Oryctolagus cuniculus: one gene and its partners. The main gene of each other region encodes a partner of the protein of the gene in region 2 in a complex. Links are inferred from orthologs where the notes say so. Each region holds a gene or a part of one and is shown on either strand. Other genes may lie near its edges.

Evidence for each region.
Region 1: the proteins of RANGAP1 (region 2) and XPO1 are in contact, whole or in part, in a cryo-EM structure (PDB 9B62), measured with the Homo sapiens proteins. The link is inferred for Oryctolagus cuniculus from reciprocal best matches to the Homo sapiens genes RANGAP1 and XPO1. Residues at the interface, in NP_001265580.1 of Homo sapiens: Ala2, Asp5, Ile6, Leu9, Ala10, Thr12, Leu13, Ala14, Thr16, Gln17, Val18, Ala19, Gln22, Leu23, Ser24, Phe25, Lys28, Glu44, Arg55, Ala561, Thr564, Lys565, Pro566, Ser568, Glu571, Ser572, Ser574, Phe575, Arg577, His578; in NP_003391.1 of Homo sapiens: Lys245, Ser248, Thr249, Tyr252, Lys253, Glu281, Gln282, Val284, Thr285, Leu289, Met292, Gln293, Gln296, Arg340, Asn342, Leu343, Lys514, Val518, Ile521, Lys522, Leu525, Glu529, Arg532, Lys534, Lys537, Ala538, Ala541, Met545, Phe554, His558.
Region 3: the proteins of RANGAP1 (region 2) and SENP2 are in contact, whole or in part, in a crystal structure (PDB 2IO3), measured with the Homo sapiens proteins. The link is inferred for Oryctolagus cuniculus from reciprocal best matches to the Homo sapiens genes RANGAP1 and SENP2. Residues at the interface, in NP_001265580.1 of Homo sapiens: Glu467, Asn508, Thr511, Thr514, Arg515, Val518, His519, Leu523, Lys524, Ser525, Glu526, Asp527, Val529; in NP_067640.2 of Homo sapiens: Tyr408, His409, Trp410, Val477, His478, Asp495, Met497, Gly498, Gln499, Lys500, Pro536, His537, Gln541, Gln542, Asn544, Gly545.

Annotation. Positions count from the first base shown.
Region 1 is NC_091433.1:141,248,128-141,254,110, reverse strand, and holds part of XPO1 (exportin-1), read right to left. Parts: intron 5,245-5,983; coding exon 5,116-5,244; intron 3,979-5,115; coding exon 3,820-3,978; intron 2,794-3,819; coding exon 2,596-2,793; intron 2,108-2,595; coding exon 1,969-2,107; intron 1,815-1,968; coding exon 1,633-1,814; intron 1,554-1,632; coding exon 1,397-1,553; intron 1,319-1,396; coding exon 1,155-1,318; intron 915-1,154; coding exon 780-914; intron 202-779; coding exon 18-201; intron 1-17. UniProt on the Homo sapiens protein: Mediates the nuclear export of cellular proteins (cargos) bearing a leucine-rich nuclear export signal (NES) and of RNAs.
Region 2 is NC_091442.1:117,316,730-117,322,712, reverse strand, and holds part of RANGAP1 (ran GTPase-activating protein 1), read left to right. Parts: intron 1-784; coding exon 785-977; intron 978-1,712; coding exon 1,713-1,832; intron 1,833-2,867; coding exon 2,868-2,970; intron 2,971-4,254; coding exon 4,255-4,343; intron 4,344-4,548; coding exon 4,549-4,670; intron 4,671-5,983. UniProt on the Homo sapiens protein: GTPase activator for RAN. Converts cytoplasmic GTP-bound RAN to GDP-bound RAN, which is essential for RAN-mediated nuclear import and export. Mediates dissociation of cargo from nuclear export complexes containing XPO1, RAN and RANBP2 after nuclear export.
Region 3 is NC_091435.1:95,280,689-95,286,671, reverse strand, and holds part of SENP2 (sentrin-specific protease 2), read right to left. Parts: intron 4,720-5,983; coding exon 4,516-4,719; intron 4,032-4,515; coding exon 3,952-4,031; intron 1-3,951. UniProt on the Homo sapiens protein: Protease that catalyzes two essential functions in the SUMO pathway.

The sequences.
Region 1 (5,983 bases), on a different chromosome or scaffold from region 2:
AGCATTATATTACCTACCATTAGCCTGAATAGCTGCAGAAATATTTTCACTGAGGCACTTGTACACATTAAGCATATCTAGGTAAATTCTTCCAAGCTGAATTACAAAAGGGTGTCCAACAGCTTTACAAGCTCTCACATTTGTCTTCAATATGCTACCAAGCTGTTTGACTGTTTCAGGATCTTTCAGTATATCCACATTCTGCAAAGACAAAAACAAACCCCATCACTTGAGAATTACCCATAACTACTCAATGAAAACCCAGTACCTTCTCTACACAAACCCTTACAATCCTATATGATAAAACATACACAGAACATTTCAATTACCAAAAATGACTAAAACATTCAAATTTTCACATAAACAATTAAGAAAAGTTTTTTGAGAGAGGGCAGGCATTAGGCACAGTGGTTAGATACTTGTTGCGTTATCTTTTATCGGAATAACTGGTTTGAGTCTTGCTCTTTCATTTCTGATCCAGCTTCCTCCCTAATGTGCACCCTAGGAGGCATCAAGATTATGGCTTAAGTGCTTGGGCACCCACCACCCGTATGCACAACTGAGATTGAGTGGCTGGCCTTGGGTGCTGGGGAGTAAACCAGCAGATGAAGATTTCTGACTGCCTGTCTCTCTCTCTGTCTGCCTTTCAGACAAAAGAAAACGGAAATATTAATTTTTTCAAAAATCACTTATGGATCAGGAATATGCATATATGGTATATATCAAAAGTACAAAAATCACATTTGCAAATTTCTTCTTCAATTCCAACTAAAACTTACTTTGGTTGCCTGCTGGATTATACTATCCCACACTTGATTGGGGAGCAGCATGTATTTTTCAATCAGATGTTCTTGGACTGTCTGGTCTGTTTGTGCACCAATCATGTAGCCCACAGCTTCATAAAATGTATGAACCTATTTTAAAAAGCAGACTTTGCTTACACTTATGCATTTTGGTAAAGAAAATCACACAACACACTCACTCTATATTACATAGGACAATAGTCTAGCAAACCAACTGTTAAGTTTCTGGCTTGCTATGAAAGGTCAACACAAAAACTTACAATTAATTTAACTGTAGGATTTTATTTCCATTAAATTCTTATTAATACAGGGATCACTTTCTAAAAATTACATGCTTAGCATTTTACATACCTGTTGAGGCTGAAGATCACAAATGATAGTGTTAATGTTGTTCAAAATTTCATCAATAAATGGCATTACTTCTCCAACCTGGACTTGAACAAAATGCCTGCGGCACTTCTGAGCTATTTTAATAAAAGTATCACAAGCCATGTCCTGGACTCCATCATGGGTCTCTAATAAAATAAAAACATTCATCTATTTTGCTCAATTAAAAAAAAATTAAAACATATTGAATTAAATGAATAATTTACCATGCATGAATTCAAACAGCTTGTTAACTACAGTCTTCAAAAATTTCCAGTGAGCTCTCAAAAATCTTGGATATTGACCTACTATGTACATGATATTTGATGCAATAATAGCTTTATTATCTTTCCCTCTTTTCTGTTCACATAATCCTAATAGATCCTGTAAAATAAGACAATTTTAAGTCATTTATCTTAACAAAGTATTTTATGGCTATAGTTCACATATATTCTTTGCTTACCTTTATAACAGTAACAAGAAATCGTTTTTCATCCTCTTCATGCATGGCTCCACTAATGGAGCCTATTGCCCAACACAATGTATTCAAATTTTTCCATGACCACTCTGTCCCATTCACTTGATTGTGAAGCTTTTCAGTCATTATTCTTTCTGTATCTACATAATCCAGATGAGTAAGATAAACTACAAAGAAAAATTTCAGATGTTTCAATTGCAAAACACAATGAGCCAGAAACTTTTATTAAAAAAAGTAAATTAATAAAAATGGCTACTTTAAAACATCAGTGTACCCCATTTTCTGAAAATTATTCCCATCTCAAAGTAGGTTTTAACTTACCTAATGTTTCTCTCATATTTTTATACAAATTTATGGAATCTGTATCCTTCATGAATTCTCTCACAACTTCTCCCTGATCATTTTCTACAACCAATACTTCCTCTGGTTTCGCCATACGACTAACCATCAATAAACGGACCTATCCAACAAGAAGACAATTAAGAAAATCTGTTAGCTATATGCTATTAGCCACAAATGTAGAAACTTAGGGGGAAAACTCAAGGCATGTACTTAAATTACCATGCCAAAAAAAAATTTCCAGAAAAGTTAAAAAGATATTTAATGCTATTACTTGATCACATAAAAAACGTGAACTATAAAGGCAAAAATTTAAATTTCATTGCAACAGTTTCCTGTGTCTCTTTTCCACATTCTCTATCAATGCAAAAGTGAAAGGCCAATGAACTTGCATGCCCAACAAATTCTCAAGTGATGTTGATGATGCAAGGACAGAAACTGCTTCTGAAAATCATGGCCAAATCAAATTCTTTCTGGTTCCAGCTTTCACAATTCCTGCAGAAGTTGTTGGATCCTTTTGGCAGCTTATTAATTTAGATAGATTAGCCAGATTAAAAGGATCTACATATAGCAATCAAAACCACAGTAAGCATCAGGAAGAATACATACCTTGGATAACACTGGCAGATAGAGCTGTCTCCTGGGGGGAACATCAAAATGTTGAGTTCCTGACAGCAATGGAGAGGCAGATGTAGAAAATGGGCTCTCTCTATAGAGTTCAGCTGCCAAGTGATTCCAGTATTCAAGACAAATCTTAAAGATTTCAGTTTCTTCAACTTCTGATACCAGCAACATATAATGAAGAGCCTGTAAGACCAAAAGTGTTAATTTGTATTTACTATCAAATCTCAAAATTACCTTCCACTTGCTACTTTAATTGGAAATTAATGTTTTATTTCATACATCTTTGATTTCATTACTTACTCAAATCTATGAACTCTGAAAACAAATGGTGCTTTTTCTGACATATGCCACCATACTTCCAACAACCTCCTAAAAAGTTGATCATTATGTATTATAATCAAATAGCTTAAAAACATTGTTTGTAAAAGTCCTTTGATGATAGCCAAAGTGCAGAAATAATCCAAATGTTTAAAGGTAAATTGATAAATAAGATGTTATGTTCATATAATAGAATATAATTGATAAGAATATAACAGAGGAATCTTTAAATACATCAAACTGACACAGAAACCATACACAAAAGTCACAGGCTGTATGATCTAAATTTAGATGAAAAAAGCAGAACAGCTAAGTCCACTGGCAGAAACCAACTAAATGGTTTATAGTGGTTGAGGAAAACTACAGAGATAATGATTAGTTTGAGGGGTACACAATCTCCTTCAGGGTTGATGAAAACTGTTTTGAAATAGATATTAATACTTATACAAAAAATGCTACTTGACTGCATACACCCAAATGGATAAACTTATGTGAATGCCTCAATTAATTATAAAATATTTTTGGACATTTAGCTTGTAAAGTTACATGTGTAATATTGTTTAGGAATTTATTTTTATGAGAAATTAGTAGACACAGCCTTATGCAGAAAATTAGAAACTCAGCTTATTGACTGTATTTGAAAACTGACAAAATATATTATTTGTGTGTGTATATGTATATATGCACACACACGAATATATACATATGTATATACGCATATATACACGCATATATACACACATACATAGATATACACATATATACATACATTCATACACACACACACACACACACACACACACACACACAGGGAAAGTAACAGGCATCATATTTTTGAGTTTTTTTAATACAGAAAAGCATTTCAGAACCCAAAGACTCCAAAAAGCCTACCTCCATGAGTGTTTCCCTGAGATTTAATCTTTTTTCTATAAGTTGACCGTGTTCCTTAAGAAAGGTGCAGAGAAACAAACTGAGGTTTTGAATAAAGTTCTGTTCGTCATCTTTTCCATTTGAATATGCTAGTCGAATATTGGTATTTAAAGGAAGCATCTGTAAATTAAAATAAATACTTAAAAATTAAAACAAAAATATTTTTGAAAAATTAAACACTATAATTTAAACCTGTAAGCCTACACAATACACATTTATTAATATTAAGCCATAAGAGGACTCCTCATTCTGTTATGCCTCCTTTTATTTCTCTGTGACCTAGGTTTTCGATTTTCTCCAAAAAGAAAGGTTACAGGGAAACTAGCTCTATTATAGTCTTTCAATTTTTCCATCAGACTTTTCCTTTCTCAGCGACAATGAAAACGTTTCCCAATATCTAGTCTGATCTCTGCAGCAAGATAAAGCTTGTAAATTCTGGAGAAAATACATTGTTGGGGCTGGCACTGTTGTGTAGTAGGTTAAGCTTCTGCACAGCATCCATATTGGTGCTGGTTCAAGACCCAACTGCTCCACTTCCAATCCAACTCCCTGCTAATGGTCTGGGAAAGCAGTGGAAGATGGTCCAAGTCCTTGGGCCCTTGCACCCACATGGGAGACCGCAAAAACGCTCATGACTCTTGGCTTCGGATCAGCTCAGCTATAGCTGTTGTGGCCATTTGGGGAGTGAACCAGCAGATGTAAGATTTCTCTCTCTATAACTCGGTTTCTCAAAGAAACAAATCTTAATTTTAAAAAATGTATTCTTTTGACACACCTAAAACCTTTACTTCAAGTAATTTTCAGTTCCCATTAAAAACTTCTGTTTTACTACTGATTTTATAGAAACACAATATTTCAGAGTTGGCGCCTTGGCCTGCAGCGCCGGCATCCCATATGGGTGCCAGCTCGAGACCTGGCTGCTCCATTTCCTATCTAGCTCTCTGCTATGGCCTGGGACTGCAGTAGAAGATGGCCCAAGTCCTTGGGACCTGCACCCGTGTGGGAGACCCAGAGGAAGCTCCTGGCTTTGGATCGGCACAGCTTCAGCCACTGCAACCAACTGGGGAGTGAACCATCAGATGGAAGACCTCTCTCTCTCTCTCTCGAACTCTTTCAAATAAATAAATCTTAAAAAAATAAAAACACAATATCTCAATACACTTGATGTGTAACACATGGAGGTAAAATATCTGAACTTGAATCCAACATTTTCTAAGGCACAAAAATGGTTCCATTTTCAAGATAGCAGACTATTACCTGTTTTAGCTGCATCATTGTCAGTGTAAATAGCGTTACAAATTGTTCCTCATATTGGCTTACACTCACACCAGCAATCTCGGTGAGGCACTTCAGAGAGACATTTCGAAACATTGGAACATTCAGGAACTATATTTTTAAAAAAGAGAAACATAAAATTAAATAGCTGAAGCACATGATGCTTAAGATAAACATTTTAAGGAAAGGAAAAGATTTAACAATCAGAAACAAGTTAGCAGTCAAATAGGTAAGTGAATGATATGCCTTATTTTAGAGATTATTTTAAGGAAATTCCATCATCTAAGGAATACTATGAATTTGGAGAAAATATATAAGTGGCAAAGCTATCAGTGGGTGGCAGTTTGGTAAGCATTAAAAGCCTTAGCCTATTACATTCTATTCATAAGACACCTATAAAGACTTAAATTGAACAATAACTATACCACTTACAGTAACATTTAATTAAATATATGTCCTAGAAATAGTTGCAGAATTGAAAACTTGAGACTTAATGGGATAGAAATAGACATATATGGGCCATGAGTATCTATTCAAGTCCTGCCTGCTCTGCTTCCAATCTAGCTGTTTATGCATTTGGCAAAACAGTACAAGACTAGTACGGAATATTGGGCTGCTGGCTTTGGCTTGAAACAGTCCCTGCAGTTAGGGCCATTTGGGGGATGAACCAATAGACAGAAGAGATATGTCTCTTTTTCTCTGTAACTCTGCCTATTTTTCAAGTAATAAATCTTTTAAAAAAGGACATGTCTATTGACCTGCTAATTCCATTTTAAACAAATTTACTGGAAGGAAATGCTTGATATGAGTATAAATATCCTATATACACAAGAATGTAGCTGAGAGTGAA
Region 2 (5,983 bases):
GAGCATGGCCACCCTTAGGAGTGGGTGAGCCAGGGGCCTCTGAAGTGACGTCAGGTTTGGTCCTGACCCAGCAGCAGCTGGCACAGAGGGCCGTGAAGCCAGGGCAGTGAAGGGGTGTGAGTGGGCACAGCTGGGGCCCAGGGTTGTTCCCCAGACGCTGACTCTAGGAAGGAAGCGACTGATGCAAGAGAGCGGGGCTCTGCATGTGGGGTGGGGTAGAGGTGGGGAGCGGACGCGCTGCCTCCTGCTGCACTGCACTCGGTCTGTGCTGGCAGCCCCGCCTGCTGGTCTGCAGCTGCACCTCACTGATGCTCAGTCTTGAGTCCCCACTGCAGGCCTGTGCTGCTGCCAGGAACTGGGGACTCAGGGGCTGGACCTCAGGAGGATCCCGGTCTGGGGACAGTGGAACAGCCTTCCTCGGGGCAGGGACAGCTAGACCTTTGCCTCCCTGCACCAGGAGCTTCCTGTGGTCATGAGAAGAGGGTGGCACTGCCCTGGGCATCTCGGCCTGGACAGATCCCGCCACGCCCTGGGCCTCAGCTGTCTCCCTGGGACACTGTGGGCTTCTTTGGGACAGGGACAAGATCTGATTCACCCGTGACTGCAGAAGCTGCTGCACGCTCATCCTTTGTCTTGAAGAATGAGTGACGTGCTCTCTGGTGAGCCCTGGGCCAGCCCCAGGAGCAGGCACCCTCCCCAGACTCCCTGCTGTCTGACTGGAGCCTTGTGGTCAGTGAGGGTCACTGGGTAGGGAGAACCTGCTTTAGCCAACTCCTGTCTGCAGTGATGACGAGGGTGACGATGACGAAGACGAGGAAGAGGAGGAAGGGGAAGAAGAAGATGAGGAGGAAGAGGAAGAAGAGGAGGAGGAAGATGAGGAGGAGGAGGAAGAGGAGGAAGAAGAGTCTCAGCAGCAGCGAGGTCAGGGGGAAGAGTCGACCACACCCTCCAGGAAGATTCTGGACCCTAACAGTGGGGTACGTTCCTTGTCTTCTGCCAGAATCAGAGCCCTGGGCCCCCTGAGCACGCAGTCCTGTAGCGTCTTCCCGAGGGTGGGCCATGGACCTGCTTCAGCACAGCCGCTGCTCCTGGCTGAGACAGAAGGAACAGCTGTGATCCTAGTAACGTGTTTGCTTGCCCGATGCACTTTCACTCACTTAGGTGTGGTAACGTAGGACTGCAAGGCGTGCCTGATGTCCCTCGCCTGGCCCTGGTGGTTTCAGGGTGGCCTTGCCCCAGTCCATCTGTTTGTGTTCCCTTGTAGATTCCCACATAAAGCTTCTGGAGAACTCTGGGTAGGACTGGGACCCCGCCCAGCTGGATTGGGGTCCTCCCTGGTGTCTGGGTGCAGTGGAATGGCAAGGCACGGCTCGGCCCGTGTGTTTCTCCACACCTCTAGCGTTGCTAGCAGTGCTGACCCAGCTAGACTGGTCCCTGGGGGGTCTACCTCAGGTCTCACATGCCTCTCTCTTGAGTCCTTCCCCAGGTGTTGCGTGTCTTAGCATGGACTCACTCTGCCATACCAGGCTTCTGGAATCCTGGGCAGGTGGCTTCCCACACCCCGTATCAGGAACCTACTGGGACCAGCCTCTGTGGGGGCTGCACCCTTTGGGAAACTGCAGCTGAGTGGGAAGAATTGTGGGTGTAGGAGCAGGTACAACCTGGAGTCAGGTTCAGAATCCAACAGAACCACCCACGGCCCCGTCTCTCAGGAACCGGCCCCTGTGCTGTCCTCCCCGCCGCCTGCAGACGTCTCCACCTTCCTGGCCTTCCCCTCTCCTGAGAAGCTGCTGCGCCTGGGACCCAAGAGTTCCATGCTGATAGCCCAACAGGTAATAACAGCACTGTGACCCCAGACTTAACCTGTGCCAGGCTGCTGGAGGGGCCTGACCCCCGAGTCACACAGACACATGTAGCAGCGTGTGCAGTAGATCTGTCCACCACCGGTGCAGGCAGGCGCCTGTGCCTGCTGGGAACTGCTCAGCTGCAGGAAGAGCCACCTGCCGTGGCCAGTGCGGCCTGGAGCGAGGGCCTTTCCCACTCCCGCTCCTGCATGCCTGTGCCTCAGCGTCTCTGTGTTTGGGCCCAGGTGCTTCTAGAACAACCCTCTGGCCAGGGCCTCTTTGGAGGTCACAGCCTTCTGCAGGGAGGCCGCCCAGCTGCAGCCTTGCTGGTTGGTTCATTCGCTCATCCCAAGTTGATTCTGCAGCACTGTTTTCTGGTGGGCTCTGTATTTGGTCATGGTTTTATTTAGTCCTCTTGCAACTTGAAATGTGGTCCGTTACACTCCTTTTATAGATGAAAAAATGGAGGCTCAGGGAGCCCACGTGTGGGGTTGGCTTGACATTTTCAGTGATTTCCTTTTGAATGTTTTGTCTGTATACTTTTTTGCAACATGATAAATATGAGATTATATAATGGAAACCTTTCTGTATCCTACACTTTGACTTAGCCCTGTTCATGGTTTTCCTGGTTATGAAACTTTGCGTACGCTTGGTTCAGATGAGCAGGCCAGTGTCTCTGGACATTTGTATCTTGCCACTTTCCTCTCTTGTTAGTGGAGTTGAGGGACACATCCTTGTGTGAATATTGTCCATATTCTGCGTTATTTCTTCAGTTTGGATTACAAGAAAGAAACCAGAGGACCCCAGGGATGACAGTTTTCAGGGCTTATCCACTCTATATGTGCTGTGGGCCAGGCTCTAGGTAGGCTCCACGGGACAGCCTGGGGTGAGGACAGGTGAGGGCCCTGTCCTTGCCCTCTAGCGGTCACAGGTGCCAAGGCCTCTCATAAGCCCCAGAACAGGCAGATCATTGTGCCCGGCCCTGGGACTCGGGCCCCTGACCGTCCTCTCTGGTGTCCTCAGACTGATACATCTGACCCGGAGAAAGTGGCTGCTGCCTTCCTGAAGGTGTCGTCTGTGTTTAAGGATGAAGCTGCGGTGAGGACGGCAGTGCAGGACGCAGTAGGTAACGTGGGCGCCGAGGGGCTCTGCTCCAGCGCTGGTGCGGCATGCGCTCCCAGCCACTCTGGCCTGGCCTGTCAGGTCTTGCCATGGCCTGCTGTGGGGCGGGCTGGGTGCTCTCCTGGTTTTTGAAGCTCTGTTGGGCAAACTAGGTCTTTCCTAAAGCCAGACAGCTGTAGAAAACTCACAAGTGATGTCCAGTGCAGGTGCCCAGTGTGGAGGGCCAGAGTCGGGTCCACAAGGACCCATTCAGGAGGTGGGTGATGCAAGCTGAGCCTTGGTCCCCACCTTGGGCCTGTGTGTATGTGAGCCCCTCTGCGGGAGGGTCCTCACTTTCCTTTCCCAGGTCCCCTCCCTCCCTTCCTCCCTCCCTCCCTCCCTTCCTCCCTCCCTTCCTTTTCTTAACTTATGCTCATTTACTTAAAAGACAAGGAGAGACAGTGTGATCTGAACATCCACTAGGTCACCCTCCAAACACCTGCAACAGCTGGGGCTGGACCGTGCCAAAGCCCAGAACCTGGAATTTACTGGAGGCCTCCCACAGGGATGGCAGGGCCACCATCTGCTGCCTCCCAGGGTGCACATTAGCAGAAAGCTGGAGTTGGGGTAGAGTGGGCTCAGACCCAAGCACTGGTACGGGTGTGGGCATCTTGTTAAGCCTCACGCCGTGTTCACCCTTCCCCAAGTCATTCTTGAGTGCACTCTGGTAAGCCCTGTGACCACGTTTGCTTCCAGAGCCTGTCACCTTCCTCCTTGGTGCTGTTTGAGCCAGTGTGGACCAGATTTCAGTAGGCAGGAAGGGGTTGGGGGGTCCTGTGGTGAGGACACAGCTTATGCAGGAGGAGAGGAGGGATAGGAAGTGCTGGGGCTTCCCCAGAGTCAGCTGTGGGCATAGAGGCCAAGGCCAGCTGGGAGCGTGCAGGTCTCCCTGAGAATTAATGGGAGAACAAGAGGCTCGAGTTCTGTTTCTCAGAGCGGCCTGGCACACTCCCTGCAGGTCCCCCCAACCTGGCTACACCTCCTCCAGTGGTGGGGTGTCCACATATGGGAACCAGCTGTGTGAGGTGGGCACAGTGGCTTCGTCTCCATGCCATTTTACATGTTAGGCCAGGAGGGGAGGGGCCAAGGTATCTAGCCAAGCTTCTCATTGTGCCAAGTGCCTCCCCAGTCTGGTGCCTGTCCCTGTCATTCCTCGCCATGTTCACCTCTCGATGGGACAGGGAGGCAGGGCCGGGCCTTGGGACACCCTTGGGCCTGTGCCCAGCCCTCTGCTGCTTCTGCCCCACAGACGCCCTTATGAAGAAGGCCCTCAGCTGCTCGTCCTTCAACCCCAATGCCTTCCTCACCAGGCTGCTCATCCACATGGGCCTGCTGAAGGTGAGGTCAGAGGAGCGGCGGGTGCAGGGGCGGCTGCCCAGGTCACCACCCCAAGGCTTCCTGCGGCTCCAGTCCTGTCCCCAAGCAGCCTGGGCTCTGTGACGGGCTCTCTGTGGGGCCTCAGTGAGCCACTGTCTGGGTGGTGGAGCCCAGGGCCCTCCAGATGACTTCTAGCTCACCTCCCTTCTGCTGTGTCCTCTTGCAGAGTGAAGACAAGATCAAGGCCATTGCCAACCTGTACGGCCCCCTTATGGCACTGAACCACATGGTGCAGCAGGACTATTTCCCCAAGGCTCTCGCACCCCTGCTGCTGGCATTCATGACCAAGTGAGTGTGGCTTTGTCGCATTTATCCACACTGGCCTTCCACTTGCCTGGCCTGGTGAGGAGTCCCAGCCCAGCCAGCCTGCTGCGCCACGTGGGCACCTGGAGGCCCTTGCCCCTCCTGGGCCCTCTCCCAGCATTGCCATAGTTAAGAAATTTGCCTGCATCACACACCAGCAAGGGACCAGGCTGGTGTCTTACCCAAGTCTGCTCATGGATCCCATACTTATCGGGGTCCCTGTGGTCAGTTCTGTCGGTTCCCACAGTTGCATCATTCTAAGGGCCCTGGTCATCCTGGGCTTCCCTTGTGGACACACCTTGCTGTGGGAGCTGCCTGGTCCCCAGAGACTTAAACCTTGGCTAGGCCCTGGAGCACTGGTCACAGTCGGGTAATAAAGCATTAGGACCACCAGGCAGGGGTGCCCTCTCTGAGGCCTCGGGCCTCAGCCTCCCCACTGGATCAACCAGAGAGCTCTGTGCAGCCACACTTCTGTGAGGCCCAGCGCCTTTGGGGATGTGGGCGTGAGAGGAGCAGGAAGATCCCTGCCCTGAGGGGCGTGTAGCCCCGTAGGTGAGGCCCAGCACTCGGGGCTGCATCAGGACACGTGCAGCCTGCGGGACCGTGTTGCGGGGAGGCCATGTGGTAGGCGTGCGAGGACTGGCACCGACTCCCTTGCCGCAGGCCTGGTCGCCTCAGCGTCTGGCAGTTCATCTGCTACTGCAGGCATCCACCCACCTGCCACAAAGACTGCCCAGGCTGCAGGCGGCCTGGCTTTGTGGAGAGATCTGACTGCCTGCTCCTCTGCTGGAGTCCGCAGCACGATGGGTCTCGGCCCCTCCTGCCCCCAGCATGGCACACTCCCCCTGGCAGGAGCTCCAGGTGGGTGGGGTGGGTGAGACCCGCCCTCCCTCCCACTGCCAAGCTTGTGCCTGTGTCTCCTTCCCCACCCCATCTGAGCTGCCCCTCTGTACCCATCCCGGCTGGATGCCCTGATGGCCCTCTCTGCTCTCAGCCACGTGTTCTGGGGTCCCAAACCTGCCTGTGTGTGCGCTGCGGGTCAGAGGGCCATTGGTGCTGGTCCTGGGCCCCACACGCTTGTCCATCCCTAGGAGTCCTCCTGTTTCTTCGCTGAAATGACGCCAACGATGCTGCTGGTAACAACAGTGCTTGGCCTCTGGCCTGTGCCTGCTGGTGCAGTGCAGGTTGGCGTTCTGGCCGGTGGGCTATGTGACCTTGGCCGCACTGACGTCCTCTGATCCTTTTGCATAGCCCACCCCTGTGCAGAAGGCAGGGGGCTGAGAGCCTCCCTTGCAGAG
Region 3 (5,983 bases), on a different chromosome or scaffold from region 2:
GATCAGCCCAGCATGCCAGCCGGCTGTAGCAGCCATTTGGGGGGTGAACCAACGGAAAAAGGAAGACTTTTCTCTCTGTCTCTCTCTCACTGTCTAACTCTGCCTGTCAAAAAATAAAAGATGTGGGCCAGCGTCAAGGCTCACTAGGCTAATCCTCCGCCTTGCAGCGCCGGCACACCAGGTTCTAGTCCCAGTCGGGGCGCCAGATTCTGTCCCGGTTGCCCCTCTTCCAGGCCAGCTCTCTGTTGTGGCCAGGGAGTGCAATGGAGGATGGCCCAAGTACTTGGGCCCTGCACCCCATGGGAGACCAGGATAAGTACCTGGCTCCTGCCATCGGATCAGCACGGTGCGCCGGCCGCAGCGCACCAGCCATTGGAGGGTGAACCAACGGCAAAAGGAAGACCTTTCTCTCTGTCTCTCTCACTGCCCACTCTGCCTGTCAAAAAATAAAAATTAAAAATAAATAAAAGATGTATTAAAATTTATGTATTTGAGAGGTAGAGTTACAGATACTGAGAGGGAGAGATATAATATGGCCACAACGGCTGGAGCTGGGGCTGATCTGAAGCTAGGAGCCAGAAGCTTTTCTAGGTCTCCCATATGGGTGCAGGGGCCATCTTTTTTTTTTTTTTTTTTTTTTTTTGACAGGCAGAGTGGGTAGTTGGTTTTTTGCCGTTGGTTCACCCTCCAATGGCCGCCAAGGCTGGCGCGCTGCAGCTGGCACACCACGCTGATCTGAAGGCAGGAGCCAGGTGCTTATCCTGGTCTCCCATGGGGTACAGGGCCCAAGCACTTGGGCCATCCTCCACTGCATTCCAGGGCCACAGCAGAGAGTTGGCCTGGAAGAGGGGCAACCAGGACAGAATCCGGTGCCCCGACTGCCGGCGCTGCTAGGTGGAGGATTAGCCTAGTGAGCCGCGGCGCTGGCCAGGGGCCATCTTCTACTGCTTTCTCAGGCCACCGCAGAGAGCTGAATCAGAAGAGGAGCAGTCAGGACTAGAACCAGCACCCATGGGATACCAGCACCACAGCACTACCAGCACCAGCCCCACCCCAATTTCTTGCAACAATCAGGCAGAAGCCAGGAATCAGCAACTCCATCTGAGTCTCTCATGAAGGCAGAAGGAACCCAAGTTGTTACACCATCATCCACTGCTTCCCAGATGGATTACCAGGAAGCTGGATCAGAAACACAGAGAGTAGCTGGGACTCAAACCAGGCACTCTGATATAGGATGGAGGTATCCCTAAGTGGTGGATTACTCTGCTGCACTAAAATACCCACCACTGTAGCAGAATTTTATATTCTTAGAAGACATACTTAACTACTGAAAGTGATTAATTTTACAGTTTTCCTGCTAAGCTGCAAAATAAGTTAAACTGGTATTAGACCAACCAGGTCCTATACTCTCAAATAAGGTAACATTGCTCCCAAGGGAGTGAAAACTGGTACTTAGCGGTAATAATCTTTAGATATTTCGATGGTTTGTAGCCCTCTAAAGCTCAACCAATTATGACTTATTGCTTAGTATTATTGTCTCTCGTTATGGAGAAATTAAATTACAAAAGTCTCAGGGGGAAGGGGACAATAAAAAAAAAGCAGAGAAAACTGGACTAGGAGCATAGTAAACCTTAGATACATGGGAACTGAACCTTCCAAAAGAAAGGTAGGCAAGCAGGGAGGGAATATGAATGTAACAGAAGTATGTATTGTTATAAGCACCACCCAATACTCTTGTGTGTGATTCCAGTAAGAAATTTCTATGCATGTGGTAATATAAATGTATGTATGCGCATACAGGTATGTATATGTGTACATTTTATAAACATCTTACACAGAAAATACCAGAAAGATCAAATAATTTGGTGTATCATAACCAGTTTCTAATTGCTGGATCAGAAGTGGAACAGCCAGGACTCAATCTGGTGTCCACATGGAATGCCAGCATACAGGCAGCAGCTTAATTTGCTGTGCCACAGTGCTGACCCCATGAAGTATTTATTTATTTCTGGAATGTTCCTTTTGATATTTTTGGACTGTGGGTAACTGAAACTACAACTACTGTAGTAATTGCTAGAAACCAGCCTCAGTTTGTTTGTTTGTTTATCAAGATAGATAAAAATAAAAAGGGTCTTTTATGTTAAAACATTAAAAATTTTTGAATTTTTAGTAATCATATCTTCTTTCACAAGATTAACTTAACAAATTCATTTATCCTCAGAAAAGTTAAAAGCAGAAAACTGCAGTTGCTTCCAGAAAGTAAAAGAGATTCAAAATGGATTCATCTTACTGACAGCATTCTCACTATGAAGCTCATGTTACTGGGCTGGCACTGTGGAGCAGTGGGTTAACGTCCTGGCCTGAGGTGCCGGCATCCCATATGGGCACCTGTTCTAGTCCCAGCTGCTCCTCTTCCAATCCAGCTCTCGCTATGGCCTAGGATAGCAGCAGAAGACGGCCCAAGTTCTTGGGCCCCTCCACCCACGGTGAGAGACCTGGAGGAGGCTCCTGGCTCCTGGCTTAAGATCACCGCCATTCCAGCCGTTGCACCTATCTGGGGAGTGAACCAGCAGATGGAAGACCTCTCTATCTGTCTCTACCTCTCTCTTTAACTCTTTCAAATAAATAAAATAAATCTTTAAAAAAAATTCACATTACCACTTAAAAGAAATAAGAGGCTAGACTTTAAAGGCTGGTTTCTAGCAATTACTACAGTATTTGTAGTTTCAGTTACCCACAGTCCAAAAATATAAAGGGAAATTCCAGAAATAAATAAGTAATTCATGGGGCCAGCACTTGGCACAGCAAGTTAAGCTGTAGTCTGTATGCTGGCATCCCATATGGATACCAGCTGGAGTCCTGGTTACTCCACTTCTGATCCAGCTCCCTGCTAATTAGCAAGGGAAAGCAGGAAAAAATGGTCCAAGTAATTGGGCCCCTGCCACCCATATGAGAGACTGGGATGAAACTCCTCTGGCTCCTGGCTTCAGCATGGCCAACCTCCAGCCATCATAGCCATTTGGAAAGTAAAAATGGAAGAGATCTTCCCCTCCACACAACTTTAACTCTTACAAATAATTAAATAAACCTTATAAAAATAATACATGCTTCATAACATCTAAACTGCACATTGTTCTGTGTAACATGATGAAATCTCACACTGTCCACTTGGTCTGGCCTGGGACATAAATCAACCCTTTGTCCTTGCTTATCCATGCTGTATATACCACCCGCCCAGTCACTGAGTAGCCATCTTTGTTATCAAATCAACTGTCATGCTTTCATATTGTGTTCAAATTAATCTAATTTTACCTAAATGGCCCCAAAGCACAAAAGTAGTGATGCAAATGAGACAAGGAAAGACAGGTTAACTTGGGCACCATACAGCATCACTGCAGGGCAAGAGGGAAAACAGATATGTTTGGGAACAGTCTGTGGTTTCAGCTACCCACTAGCGATCTTGGAACTCATCCCCAGAAGTAAGGGGATGACTATTAACTTAAAAGTTTCCCCTGTATTCCATGAGATGAAGCCAACTCTCATGAAAGCACAAAGACATGGAGTAGGCTCCAAAATTTAGAGGACTAATACTCCCTATAACAGTTCTTTAGGACATTCAGAATAATGTAACAAATCCAAAGAGATCTCATTCAAATCACAGGATAAGGATTCGAACAAGGTATAGTTTACATAATAACACATGACAAACTTGTTTTCAATTGAATATGCTACCAAGTAAGATGTTCTCAAAGATCAGATATCATATTTAAACCAAAAAAGATGGATTCAATTAAGTTCTGACCTAACAGATAGAGAATCTTAACTGTACATTAAGACTACCATCCAGAGCTTCCTAGGATTAAACAGAAAAACAATGGTGATTGTTAAACACCATTAAACCCTAACAAGGGTTTAATGAGACAGTAGTGAAGTTTTTCAATCTTTACTTACAGAAGAATCTCACAGATCCTGTGGCCCTTTTGCCCCATAGAATCCAGATATTTAAGACACTTTTTTCTTAGGTCCATCACCTATAATGGAAAATTGCATTATCCAAAAACATCTTATATATAGCAGAAGAACTTTATTTCCAAAATTAAAACCATCTTTGAAAAAATCAAACATGAATGAATTTCTAGGACATATTCTTTAATTTAAAAAAAGTTACAAAACATTGTAAGTTAACATATATATATTTCTATTCCTAGAGAAAGGGCTAGAAACTAATTCACCAAAGTATCAGTGGCCCTCTCAATGATGAATTTTGTTTGTTCTCTTCTTTATACTTTCATTCTTTTATAATAAATCTGTTTAACATCTTATAAACAAAACTGAATGAAAGCTCCAGGTATAGGGACTGTGTCTCCTAGCTTTCCAAGCTGTTCAGAAGGTACTCTACGCAGCATGCCTTTAACATATCCTTACTGGTCTTATCACTGGACAGAAAAGAGTAGCCTTAATTATTTAAGAAAACAGTCTGTATCCAAACCCCAACAACTAATCCTCTCAACTTACCACCAGGCTCCAGTGTACCTTTCGATGAATAGGCACCAGAATAAGTTCCTGTTCAAAGAGATTTACCCCTTTGGTCCATCTTTTCACTGCTTGGTAACCCCCAGACTTTAATTTAGGATAGAAGAAAGTACTGAATGCATGAAGTACTGGATAGCCTTGCTTTTTATTTCTTTCAACCAGAAGATTCATATAAAAATTAATGACCTGTAAAATAGCAAGAGAGTCTAAGTTGGAATATGGGCAGCATATTACTGAAAACTAAATTTCTACCCAAGTAAGGATGAATTACAAAGTGCGAAGTTAATATATGGAGAAGGGAAGGTATGAGAGAAGGGGATGAAAGGAATGAAAGCACTGTCTCTGCAGAAGATTAAAAAAAAAATTGGGAGACAGGAGAGATTAAGGATGCATAAAAGTGTTCTTTTGAGGCATGAGTAGCAAAGACAAACAAGAGAAAGAACTGTGGAATAATGAAAAACTACCTGCAGCTGTATCACACAAGAAAATAGAAATACTAATGGAAACAAATCTTACTAAATTATACTTTGATTTTAAAACATTAAAATACATTAAACATACTTATTATACATTAATATTTTACTTAATTTTTAGCAGCACTTTTGAACAATAATTCACTTTTCCTGTATTTTCTATAATAAACACATTACACATAAAATGTGAAACAAAACATGCTAATTTTAAAAGTGCATTATTTTGGGAGACTCAGAGGAAGCTCTTGCTCCTAGCTTCGGATCAGCCCAGCTTCAATCATTGTGGCCATTTGGGGAGTAAACAAGCAGATGGAAGATCTCATTCTCTGACTTCCTCCTTCCTCCATAACTCTGTGTTTCAAATAAATAAGTAAGTCTTTAAAAATACATGTGATAAGTTAACTAGTTATGGGGGAATAGGATAAGGGGAAGGAAGGCAAAGGGAGAAAATGCAGGGACTGAGCAGGTGGGGAAAGAACCAATGGAAAGAAGTGGTAAGAGCTAACTTTTGCTAAATATGCAAGGACACAACAGGCAAATTTTGCAGCTCTCACTTGTGCTTTGAATATATGTGCCCCTCTATACCCATATAGGGCATATATAATTTCCAATTGATTAAGTCACAAGTGCTCTACCCTCATGAACGTGATTTGGGCTCTTACAAAGGAAGTTGAGGGGAAGTGTCCCAGCTCCTTTTGCGCTTCTGCCACATGATGACTCAGTGCCTTTCCTGCTGGCTTAGAAGCAGGGACTGGGCCTTCACTGCACACTGAATCTGCTAGCACTTTGACCCTGGACTATCCTGCCTCCAGAACCAGAAGCAGCAAACCTCTATTGTTTATAAGTTACCTCGGCTATAATTTTTTTATAGCAGCAGGAATGGATCAAGATATAACTCAAATTAAATAAAAAGACATACACTCATATATAGCAATCAATACATCCCTTTAATACTGAAAAAATAAGAGTTCCCATAA